3 linked regions of the Diceros bicornis minor genome follow. The protein of the gene in region 3 purifies or fractionates together with the protein of the main gene of each other region. This does not show direct contact. Links are inferred from orthologs where the notes say so. Each region holds a gene or a part of one and is shown on either strand. Other genes may lie near its edges.

Region 1 (3,745 bases), on a different chromosome or scaffold from region 3:
TGCCCAAGGACTCCCCTCCTCCCACTTTGTTACTGAACAGGACTCCCTGCTGCTTGGGAACCCTCCCTTAATCGTGTCACCACTGACCTGGCCCCCAGGCCTGGTCCTGGGCACCCCTGTCCTCTCCCCACAAGCAGAGTGCTCTAGCCTTTTGCTGCTGCAGGGATGGGGGCTGGGTGCACGCGGGGCACACGTGTATAGGGGAGCATGCTCAGTGCAGGGGTGCACCCACGTGCGGCCTGCGCCTCCGCTCCCTGTCCCCCCCACCTCTGCCGAGTCTCCGTGTGAAGTCCAGGAAGAAAGGCCACCACAAAAAAAGGTCCCTGTGTACTATGTGCACGCACCCTGGACACACACCTCTGGTGGCCCAGAAACAACGTGGGTGTGTTTAAGAAGAATGCCAAGTGGATATTACTGCACATAGGCACAGTGGTCATTCCTCGGGAGGGAGGCCTTTAAAAACTGCCCAGATCCTTTCCTCTCTGGATGGACGCATGAAGGAAGGATAGATGTATTTTTAGCCCGGAGGCAGGGGGATACACTGCATGACCTCTCTGGCATTTGGGCGTCCATATTGTTGGTAGTGTGCTTAATCAGCAAGGGTGTGACCGCACACACACCTGGACACTCAGATGTGGACACATGGGGCACGAGGACGCACATCTCACCCCAACCAAAGATAGGCGGGTAACCCAAACCATAGCCCCTTGCCGAGGAGGGGGGCCTGGGCCTCCAGCTCCTTGTTCTCTTCCCTGATTCCGAGGGGTCACTGACCCTGGGCCCGAGCCCCGTGGGCCACTCTCCATCTCGAAAGTGAAGGGGATGGGGCTGTGAGGGTGACTCACGCCGCCTCCAGGCCAGGGGAGCGCCGGAGCGGAGGCCAGGGCCGCAGGCGACGCTGCCCGCTCGGGCCTGGCGGCCGCGGCCGCGGCCCCTTTAAGCGCCCCCGCCCCTCCGCCCGCGCTCCCGGCTTCCTTTCTCCGGGAGGCGCGGCCGGCGGGGCCCGGCGGAGGGGCGGGTGTGCAGGCTGCCCCTCCCCCGGTGGGCAGGGCCTGCGCCGCTTCCTGCGGGAGCGGCCGCGAGCCGCGCAGGGGGCGGAGAGAGCGAGCGGCGAGCGGCGAGCGGCGGCGGGGCGGCGCGGGGCGGCGCGGGGCGGAGGGCGCCCGAGGGCGAGCGGGCAGGCGGGCACGGCGGGTCCCGGGCCAGTCCCGGGGGCGGACGGTTGGCCGGGCGCGCGGAGCCTCGCCGGGGCCGAGGCGGGCCGGGCAGCAGGGGCCGCCGCCGCCCGGGCCCGCCGCCCGCGCCCGCGCCCCCCACGCTGGCCCAGAGGGCTGCGGCCGCGTCGCCGCTGAGGATGTCCCGGAAGGGGCCGCGAGCGGAGGTGTGTGCGGACTGCAGCGCCCCGGGTAAGCGGGCCGGGCCGGGGGCGGGACCGCGCACCGAGGCCGCCGCCGGGCGGGCGCCGGGGCCTGGCGGGAGCGCCGTGCGGGGCCGGAGGGCGGGGCGGGCCTGGGGGCTGCGGCCTCCGGCCTCAGCCCCCGCCCGAGCCACTGCGGAGCCGCGTCCTTGGCGGGAGGGCCGGCCTGGGGGGGGCCCTTGTTTCCTCGCGTCCGTGGACGAGCGAAGAAGGACATTCCCGGCGCCGCCTCCCACCCTTCAGTCTGAGGAAGGCGGGCAGCTAGTTGCCCCCCCTCCTATCTCCGTATCCAAACGGAAGCGCCAGCCTGGGGGGGGCGGGAGGGCTGTGGCGGAGGCCGGCAGGGTTTAGGAGGTGGGGGCGAGTGTGGTTTTGTGTCATCTCAGTGCCGCCCCCGCGTCTTGCACCTGCTGCTCGCATGGTCTGCGCGCCCGCTGGGGTGGCGGAGGGCAAGGGGCAGAGAGCTGGGTGGATGGGCCAGGGGGGCCTGGCTACTGTTTCCTCGGGAGCAGATGAGAGGGTGGCTACTCCTAGGACTCCCTGCCCCTGGTTCCCAAGGCTGGGGCTCCTTGCAGGGCCTGGTGTTCAGGGCCAGTATGAGCCTGGGCATCTTCCCCTGAGGCATCCCCAGGCCGCCTGGTGTCTGGCAGCAACTAGACTCGGCTTTTTCTGTGCCCTAGTAAGGCCTGCTTGGGAAGGTGGGCTTGCATTGCCCCAGCCTGGGCACAGACCCCTCCCGGTCCCCTAGCCCAGTCTGGCCAGAAATGGGTAGGGAGCAGTGCTGAGGGGTGCCTAGATTCCCGGGATCCAGCTGGCTTCCTGGCCTGCCTCCTGGCTGTATTTACAGTGGTGTTTCCCTTCTCCTTCACAGCAGAGTCAGGTCCAGGCTGATGTGAAACTCCCCTGACCTGCTGAGGAAGTGAGGTGCAGTGACCTGAAAGGCTGCTCCCTTCTAATGTGGGGGGACACTGCCAGTGATGGGGCTCAGCAGCTGGCCTGGGGAAGGAAGCCCTGGCCCCTGTCCATCCTGTCTTTAGAAAAGGAGCCATCTCTGTGGGAGACATCTGGGCAGGCTCAGGGGGTCTCTGAATTCCAGGGGGACTGTGGGCACAATTAAGTGTGCGAGTGTGGGGTGCTGTTTTATGGGCCCATAACTTCCAGCTACCCTTTGCACAGGCCCAGGACCCCAACAGGTTAAGACCCACAGACACTCTGGTGGTTCTGATGGCTCCAAGCTAGAGTGTTTGGGCACTGTGGATGCCTGGCAGAGGCCTGGTCCTCTGTGGGTGGTTATGACCCCGAGGCCTCCTCTCAGGGCATGTCATGGTCTAAAGGGTTCTGAAGAAGCTATCTGGGGGATATGTGTTCTTACCCCTAATTAGCTGGAAACTATGATCCCCTTCTCCCAACCACAGGAAAGTCTGGGGTTGGCAGGGCTGAGAGGAGAGCTTGCCCTCTACATGTCTGTCCCAGGATGTTCTGCACCTCTGCTGGGTGGGCATAGCACTGAGCGGGCAAGAAGGGCTGGGAGGGGGGTGCTTAGCAGTCACCCTATCAGGGGAGCCTGGATTTTAGTGTTACCTGTGTTTCCAGCTCACTCTGTGACCCGTGGCAAGACTTGCCTCATTCTGGGCTTTAGTTTCCTCAACTGTGAGGCAAAGAAGTTGGAGTAGAAATGGTTTTGAGGACCATCCCATCTCCAAGTCTGTTGTCCTGATTCTGGGCCAGAGGGACATAGGGCAGCATCAGCAAGGGTATCTTTTCTCCATTGCATTTAACTGTTTGGCTGAAGCCTCTGGATGCCCACTGGGCTCCGGGAGGAGTGGTGTGTATCTGTGTTGAACTGCCCAGCTCCTATCCCCAGTCCTCATCCCACAGGCATCTGTGCCCTGGCTACCTCCTTTTCCCCTTGTCCAGAATACAGGTCAGGAAGAGGCAGGTGAGGTGGGCAGGGTGCTGACAAAGTCTTACTCATTACTCCCCCACCCCCCAGCACCTAGCATGGTATCTGGCACATAGCAGCCACTCCCCAAGCATTTGGATGCTTGTCAGGGCCCCAGCTGGCTACTTGGGGCTACCCCCCACCCCCACTCTATGATGCTTGGAGTGGCATTCTCAGTCTGGGAACTGCAGCAGCCCAGGTAAGAGGCTTGAGAGTAACAGCAGTCTGGAGCCCAGACCCAGAGCACCCACCCCACTAGCCTCCCTGCTGAGTGTCTGCCTCCCACCCAGAGTTGTAGGCTTCTCTCACTCTGACAGGAACCCTACATTCCCAGCCCTAGGAGTGAGGTCGTAGCCTTTTTGTGGTTGGTTAATTTGGGGGGTCAT
Region 2 (3,745 bases), on a different chromosome or scaffold from region 3:
TAGTGTTTAAAGAGCTAGTTAAGCTGTATTGGGTGAACCCATAATTATTCAAGCTACTGAAGATCTACAGGGCTGTATAATTCCAAAAATTGTTCTCTTAGGCTTTTAATGTACACATTTTCTTTTTCTTTTAAAGATGTGCCCTTCCTAATTATTTTATATTGAGACTAATATTAGAATAAATATGCAATCCCTAAGAACATACAAGTCACATACTAAGTGGGGAAGGAAGAGAGGAGAAACAGGCATTTGTTGCAGAAAATCCACATACACGATGTATTAATCACCTATGCTCAGTTAACACGGTGTTCAGTCCAGTGTGCATTATTTACTATTAAAATAAAGAGACAGTACAAAAGATGAAGGACAGTCCTCCAACCCACGTTTGCCAAAGGTCTTCATCTTTTCTCCTTGCACTACTTCTCTCTGAAGCAGACAAAAATGCTAGAAAGTCAGATGACGCCATAACCACTTCTACTTGGCAAAGTGCCACAAGTGCGCTCTGGCTAGAGGAAAAGCGGAGGCAAAAAATCAGATAAACCACATCTTCGAAATCAACTTTTGTGGAAGTGATGAAAGACACAAAAAGTCATTTGTGATGTGGCCCTTCTCCAAACAGTCCTGTAACGAAACACTTAGGAGAAATGTATTCCTTCTTGCTCTCCATCTCTTCACGCCTAGTGATCCTTGATGGATGTAAAATGGGGAAAATACCAACTACCTCACATGTTGGGAAGACCAAAAGAAATTTATTTAACACCTATATACCACTTACTCTGTGCCAGGCCCACTTTGTTTTACAAGTATTAACACGTCTAATCCTCTCCACAGGCCTGTGAGGTAGGTACTATTACCTTTATTTTACAGATGGGGAAACTGAGGCACAGAAAAATAACTAAACTTGCTGGAGGTTTCCAGTAAACATCTGGCAGAAGCTGGATTAGAATTGAAGCAGGCAGGTCTGAGCCCCACTCGAGCACCACTGGGCTGCCTCTCTGAGATGACTTAGCCCTCCAGGCAGCCCCTGCTCTGGGGAGGCCTCCGGGATGGTTGCTGATGACCGCCTGTTCATCATCACTGTTATTTCTGTTTTACGACCCATTTCTACTCTTCGGAGAAGCTTTCTCCAGCCAGCGAACATCACTTACTGCTCCCTGACTCAGAGTAGCCCTTTTTTCCCTCATGCCTCACCCTCCTGAGCCCCCGCGGGTTTCCCACCCTGATCCAATGCCTGCGCCCCACCCCTCCCCACCCCCTGTGAAGCCTCAGCCTCCAGCAGGAGAGTCACCGCCGGGGCGTTTCCTGATCCAGATCGTGCAGGTGGGCCTGGCTGGGCTGGTTCCCTCCTAGCACAGAGGAGACCCCTGGTAAACGTCTGGGGGAATGGGAGGTCCAAAGAAGTCTCAGAGTGAAAGGCTGGTGAGCCCAGCCCTCTGTTCCAACGAGACCTGTGAGGACTGGACGAGGTGGCTGGCGCACGTGTGGCCGCGGTATGGAGAAGCTTCCACTTGGAGAGAGTGGGGCAGGTGATCGGGCTTAATTCCAAATCTTAACATTTACTTCAACGACCAGCTCAATTAAAAAAAAATAAAAACAACTTTGGAGTTACTGTTCCAAGTCAGACAGCAACTCAACGGCCTCTGTTCTCCCTCCACCAAACCGCAAGAGGAAGCTAAAGAGACGGCACCACTCTCCCCGGGGCAGTAAGTGCTTCCTTCTATCTGACCTCTATCCGGCCTGCGGCAGCTGCAGCTTCAGTCTTTCCCCTGGTTCTGAGTTCTCTCACCAGTGGATGCAGGAAAATATCCCCGCCCACACTAAACGGGGAACTCGGGGCCAAGCAACGGAGATACCCTGAAGGGCCGCGCGCGGTTTCAGGGTGAGGGGTGGGGATTGTAAATCGCTCATTGCCTTTCAGTTCCAGGACAAGAATCGGGCCCGAAAGAGCCTGAGTCACCAACCGGCGCCACCGGCCGGTAGCCACAGCCCCGGCTTCCGCTTGGAGCTGGAGAGCGGCGTTTCCCGTGAGCCCGCGGGCGCGCGGGGACTACGACTCCCGGCATGCTCCGAGGCCGCCGGAGTTAACCCTTCAGGGCCCGCGGCCGCCCTGCGCCCCGCCTCCGCCCCTTACCTGGACCCTGCAGGGTGAGTTTTAGGGAGCTGGGGAGGGACTCTTTCCTTAATTTAAGACTTAGGTGTGTGTGTGTGTGTGTGTGTGTGTGTGTGTGTGATGTACTCTCGGCGGGAGAGATGATTCTGATTTTCCTAAAATGGGACAATTTGCAGTAATGAGATTCAGACGCTTTTTTGCGGGTGGGAGACCCAGCATCAACTCTCTGAACCCCAGGGCCTAGGTAGAATCACGGCTGTCTTCTTCAGAATGCTATTTAAATCCTCTCCTTCTCCCCCTCCCCCCAACAAAAGTAGCCAGCAACCCCTCCCCTCTGCCAAAGGCCCCCACTCCGACCCTTCCCCAGCGCCCCAGTGAGGTTTGTTACCTGGCAGCCAAGTCAGGGTTTTTGTTATCCCTCTGACTGGGGGATGAGTACTCATGGAGCCCATGGAACCTCCCACATCCTTTTGGATTAGAGGTTTTAGAATTTAGGCCGTTCGCCTCTCAGAGCCTGCCCTTCCCCCCCAGGTGTCACCACGGAGTCCCTGCAGGTTCAGCAGGCACCCTGCCTTTGTCCGACTTGAATGACCACGGGCCTGTGGAAAAGGGTTCCTTCCCTGGGAGTATGGGTGGTGGGGGTTAAGCCCGATCCAACCTTTGCCCCCACCCCCACCCCTAAAACAACACTGGGCACAGGAGACAATGGGGGGGTCACACTCGTCTTTCTATTATTATTCTTTCTCTGTTGTGCATAGTTCCAGTCCTGGGCTGGGAGGGAGGGGGACAGGGACTATAAGTGGTCAGCTACCCCCGCTCCTCATCTATGGTCAGAGGGGAATGGAGGGGCTGCTTGTTTTTTTCATGTTTCACTGCTCCCAGACCCCACTTTAACAATCCCAGTTCACAAGGTCCCCTCCCTGCCTCGACCATGAAGAGTCTAAGGCTGCTAGCAAAAAAGGGCTACTCTGAGTCAGGGAGTTGAGAGCCTGGCATGCCTGAATCCCCTTCTTTGCTTCACCTCTGTCTCAGTGTCTGTCAGTGGCAAGCATCCTATCCTCACCCCAGAGGTGAACTCCCCCATTACAGGCAGTCTCTGGCTTCCTCTCCTTCCCCCCAAAGGGGCCATTGTTCTGGCCAGCATTTGGGGCGGGGTGGACAGAAGGGAGAAGACCTTGGGACAGGAGTCCTGAACCACAGGAGGCCAGGGGAGTGAGGGCAGGCCAGCATATCTCTCCTCTTATCTCACCCTTCCCACCGCCAACTGGCTCCCTGCCCCTGCCCCCGCCCCTTGACATCCCAGACTCCCTGGCTATTTAAACAGAGATGGGTGCCCCGATCGGCACACTGTCCTTTGGCCACTGGACATCATGCCTCCCAAGAAGGATATTCCTGTGAAGAAACCAGCAGGGCCCGCTGTCTCCAAGCCTGCTCCCAAACCAGCAGCAGTAGGGGCCCCTACAGCCAAGCCCAAGCCTGAGCCAGAGCCAGCTGTCCCTCTACCTGTGCCTCCTCCGGCCCCTCCGAAAATCCTGGAGCCCCCCATCGATCTCTCCAAAATAGTGGTGAGTCTCCTGAAAGTGAGGAAAGAATTTGGAGGGGGTAGTACAATGGTGGGATACAGCCTAGGGGATT
Region 3 (3,745 bases):
GGGCCTGATATCCTGGCAACTGTGTCCCCATCTCGTTCATTTCCTATGAGTCCCTTACGCCACAGCAGCACTCAAATGTTTGTTCAGTTGGATTAAATTATTGACCCAAGGCCTCACCCTTTTATTTGCTCCTGGTCTAAAAACATGAAAGTAACTACACTTAGTAGTTTAGGCTTGTCATAGAGTCACTGGAAATTTCTATCAGCAAAGGGGACACTGTTGTTCTCCTATCCTTGAAATTTCAACTCTTCTTTATGGGAGATCGTTATGAACAAAGCAAAAAGGAGGTGTCCTTTGCCCTGGGAACATGTTTATTTTGAAATAATTGCAAGACAAAAATGTTTTTAAAAAAAAACTTGTGTGGAAAAGGTCTGATTTCAGAAAATTGTTACAATACTGAGCAACAGAGCGCGTTATAGGAAGAGAAGGCCTACAAGATGAAAACATCATGGGAAATCAACTCCCCTGGAGGGTCCACTCGCTAACAGAGTTGATGGGAGTGAGCACTGGTTATTACCTTGCAGGAGGACAATGCAGCAACACGTATAAAAAGCTTTAGAAACATTCACGCCTATTAACCCAGTAGGAAACGTAGTCTAAAGAAATAGAGCTATAAAGATTCTTGCATAAACTTGTTCATCCCAGCATTGCTTCTCAAATAGGGACAATTCAACTGTCCAATAATAGAGGAATTGGTTAAATTAAGGTACATGTGCATAATGCAACGAATAGTAAGCAGCCATTAAAAACGTTGTAACGATTCAGCATGATTTCTTACTTTTGTTTAAAACATGTTTGTTATGCACATAAAGAAATAACTGAGAGGAAATATACCAAAATATCGGCATTTCAATGGTCTGCGAACAAACATTATCTCCAGAACTCGGCGCAAAGCAACAGGACATGTAAACGCTCAACGCAGTAAAGACAATTAATTTTCCTGAATGAACATCTCTTATCTCTGAATAATGCTATGGCGTATGGTCTTCTCTTTTTTATAGCTTTAGGTTCCGAATTTTCTAGAAGGACCTCGTCATCACATAAGTTATGGTTCTCACATAAAAAATATAGGTGAACGCCCTTTGCATGGCCTCGGGCTGGAGTTGGTCGGGGACGCGGGGAGCGGGGTGTCTGGAACCCAGAGATCCTGCCAAGGCCGACGCCAGGCCCGGCCGGGGCGGGCTGGGCCCGCGTCTGTCAGAGCGCAAAGATGGCGGCCGGCCCGCCCCGCCGCCCTCCGAGGCGCGCCCAGCGGCTGGAGCCGAGCGCTCCCGAGCGTCCCCGAAGCCGAGAGGAACCCCGGGAGCCGCGCGGGCGGGAGCGGCCCCGCCCCGGAGCCTGGGAGCGGCGGCGCCGGCGCGGGGGAGGGGAGGCCGGATGTGAGTGGAGCAGCCATTTCCTGTTTCTCTGCAGTTTTCCCCAGCTTTGGGTGGTGGCCGCTGCTGGGCTTCGGCTTCCCGTCGGCGGAGGGCGAGGCGGCGTGGACCGCGGCCCCGGCACCCCGCGCCCCGCCGCCCGCAGCCGCGCGCCCGTCCGCCCGCCGCGCCCCGAGCCCGCCGCTTCTCGCCTCAGCGCCCGGCCGCCGCCGCCGCGGCCCAGCGAGCGGCCCAGATGCAGGCCATCAAGTGTGTGGTGGTGGGAGACGGGTGAGTGCGGGGCCGGGCCGGGGGCCGGAGGACCGGGGGTCGGGCCGGGCGGGCGGGCGCGCGCCACGGGCTCGCGTGGGGCCTGGGCCTCTGCGGGGCGGGGGGCGCAGGCCGCCACCCCTCCCCGGGCTCGGGCGGCGCGGGCCTGGTTCCCGCTGGTTTTTTTTTTTCGGTGGGGGAGGGCACCACCGGTCGCGGCCGGAGGGAAAAGTGAACTCCACCCTCCCGCCTGCTCCCCGCGCCGCTGACCGCCGGCCAGGCCGAGCTCCCCCAGCGCCGCCCCGCCGCCCTCCCGCGTCGGCCTGTGGATTAAGTGGGCTTGCAGCGTCGCCTTGTTACGGATCAGGACCCTTCCTTGGTTTTTGTATGAACCTCTCGAGCCCCACTGAGAGCGTCCGAGGGTGGCGCCGGTCGGGTCGGTGATATTTGACGAATATTTGCACGGGCTGGTTGGGTGACCCTTCACTGAGTTACTGGGGGGTGTCTTCCACTTGTACTGCTTCGCCACTTTTAGGATTTTTTAAATGATCATTTTTGCTATTTCCCTGGAGAAACTTCTAAGATTCTCACTGCGAGAAGCTGGGTGTGATTGAGAACGTTCTCTGAACGTGGTGTGGTCATTGAGGAAAAAAAAAGAAAGAAATTGCCTTTCGATTCATGGGTTAGGTATGGGATGTAGCAGAACAGGCTCCCGGAGCCGAGCTGCCCTGTGACTCAAGACATTTCTTTTCATGCCTGTCCGTGGTGGTTACAGGCCCTCGAGGAAGACAAGACTTGTCTTATGCACTTTTTTTCTCCCATAGAAACAAGAATCTCAGTGTAATCCGAGCAAAATTGTGTGTCTCAGCGTTGCTCGAGTAGTTGGGCGTTAACAAGGAAGCTCCAGGAATTACTACCAGTTTCATCAAACTCAGAATGCAATTGGTCCATTTTTTGAGTCTTGTAAAGTCGAAGGAAGAGTTCTGGCATCACTGTTCCTTTTGATTAATAGTCCCCAAACTTGTCATTAGGACTGATGGTGCTTTTATGCCTCTCAGTGAATTTGTGAATTCTCAGCTTTTTTCGGTCATTGTAAGTTAGACGTTTGAAATTGTTTCTCTAACTAATTCAGATGCAGGAAGGACAGTTAGACAACTTATTTATTAAAGATGCTGGTCTGTCGGATTTGTCAGACTGACAAATGTGAGGGATTATTAACCCTTCATGGTTCTATGTAAATAACTAAAAATTGTTAGTTTCACCTACTTAGGAATATGTGTGGTACTTGGTTTTTTTTTAACCTTTTAAAAGGCAGCTTTACTTTGATGTGGGGGAAAATGTCTAATTAGCTGGTTTAACAGTGAAGTCGTTTAAATGAACTTTTGATCCTTTTGCATAATGAATTAGCTAAACACGTCACTTTGTCTTAGGAACATTTTAAATTATCTGAATTTCCTTTAAAAATTAAAAATGCTTAATCAATAATGCTTAGAATATGAAGTAATACTAGTTTTTTAAAAAATCAAATTGCTGATAATTCAATATCTAACCACACACAGTATGTAATATTCTTACTTTAAAATAACTAACACATAAGCACAACGGATATATTTAGTGTATTTAATAGTACTTACAGATTATGGACCTCTACTGTTTGTATTGGCTTGTTTGGTCAAATACTTGTTGAATGCCTACTATGGGATCTGGATCCTTCCTTTAAATCCCCACCTCACCACTTATGGGGAAAACCTGAGGGTATAGCTCATCGCCCCCAGGAGAGGTGCCCCTAGGGGACATTGTGAGGATTAAACAAGATGCTAGATGTTAAGTGCCTCACAGGTGCCTGGCCCCTGCTGAGTAAGTGCCAGCTGCCAGTATCATTATTTCTGTTTCTGTTACTCTGAGGCACTGCTAGGCTCTGTGAAGGGAGTGTTAGGCATGAAACACAGTTCCTGGCCTATTCAGTCAGTTTTTTGATACTATATTTGACACTGACGTTGACTAGGGCTAAGCCATATTAGAAGTGAAATGTACCTTTACAAAAAAAAATTTAAGCTGTATTACTTTATTTAAGGGATGGTATGTAGCAAACAATACTTCAGTGAAAAATCTAGATACAT

Evidence for each region.
Region 1: the proteins of RAC1 (region 3) and GIT1 purify together in Homo sapiens (affinity purification with mass spectrometry; 3 studies listed by BioGRID). This does not show direct contact. The link is inferred for Diceros bicornis minor from reciprocal best matches to the Homo sapiens genes RAC1 and GIT1.
Region 2: the proteins of RAC1 (region 3) and MYL6B purify together in Homo sapiens (affinity purification with mass spectrometry; 3 studies listed by BioGRID and IntAct, with this or other methods). This does not show direct contact. The link is inferred for Diceros bicornis minor from reciprocal best matches to the Homo sapiens genes RAC1 and MYL6B.

The regions. Positions count from the first base shown.
Region 1 is NC_080757.1:18,092,387-18,096,131, forward strand, and holds the start of GIT1 (ARF GTPase-activating protein GIT1), read left to right. Parts: upstream 1-1,148; 5' UTR 1,149-1,354; coding exon 1,355-1,406; intron 1,407-3,745. UniProt on the Homo sapiens protein: GTPase-activating protein for ADP ribosylation factor family members, including ARF1.
Region 2 is NC_080756.1:12,614,629-12,618,373, reverse strand, and holds the start of MYL6B (myosin light chain 6B), read left to right. Parts: upstream 1-1,315; 5' UTR 1,316-1,703; intron 1,704-1,918; 5' UTR 1,919-2,145; intron 2,146-3,434; 5' UTR 3,435-3,480; coding exon 3,481-3,675; intron 3,676-3,745. UniProt on the Homo sapiens protein: Regulatory light chain of myosin. Does not bind calcium.
Region 3 is NC_080765.1:8,897,321-8,901,065, forward strand, and holds the start of RAC1 (ras-related C3 botulinum toxin substrate 1), read left to right. Parts: upstream 1-1,425; 5' UTR 1,426-1,611; coding exon 1,612-1,646; intron 1,647-3,745. UniProt on the Homo sapiens protein: Plasma membrane-associated small GTPase which cycles between active GTP-bound and inactive GDP-bound states.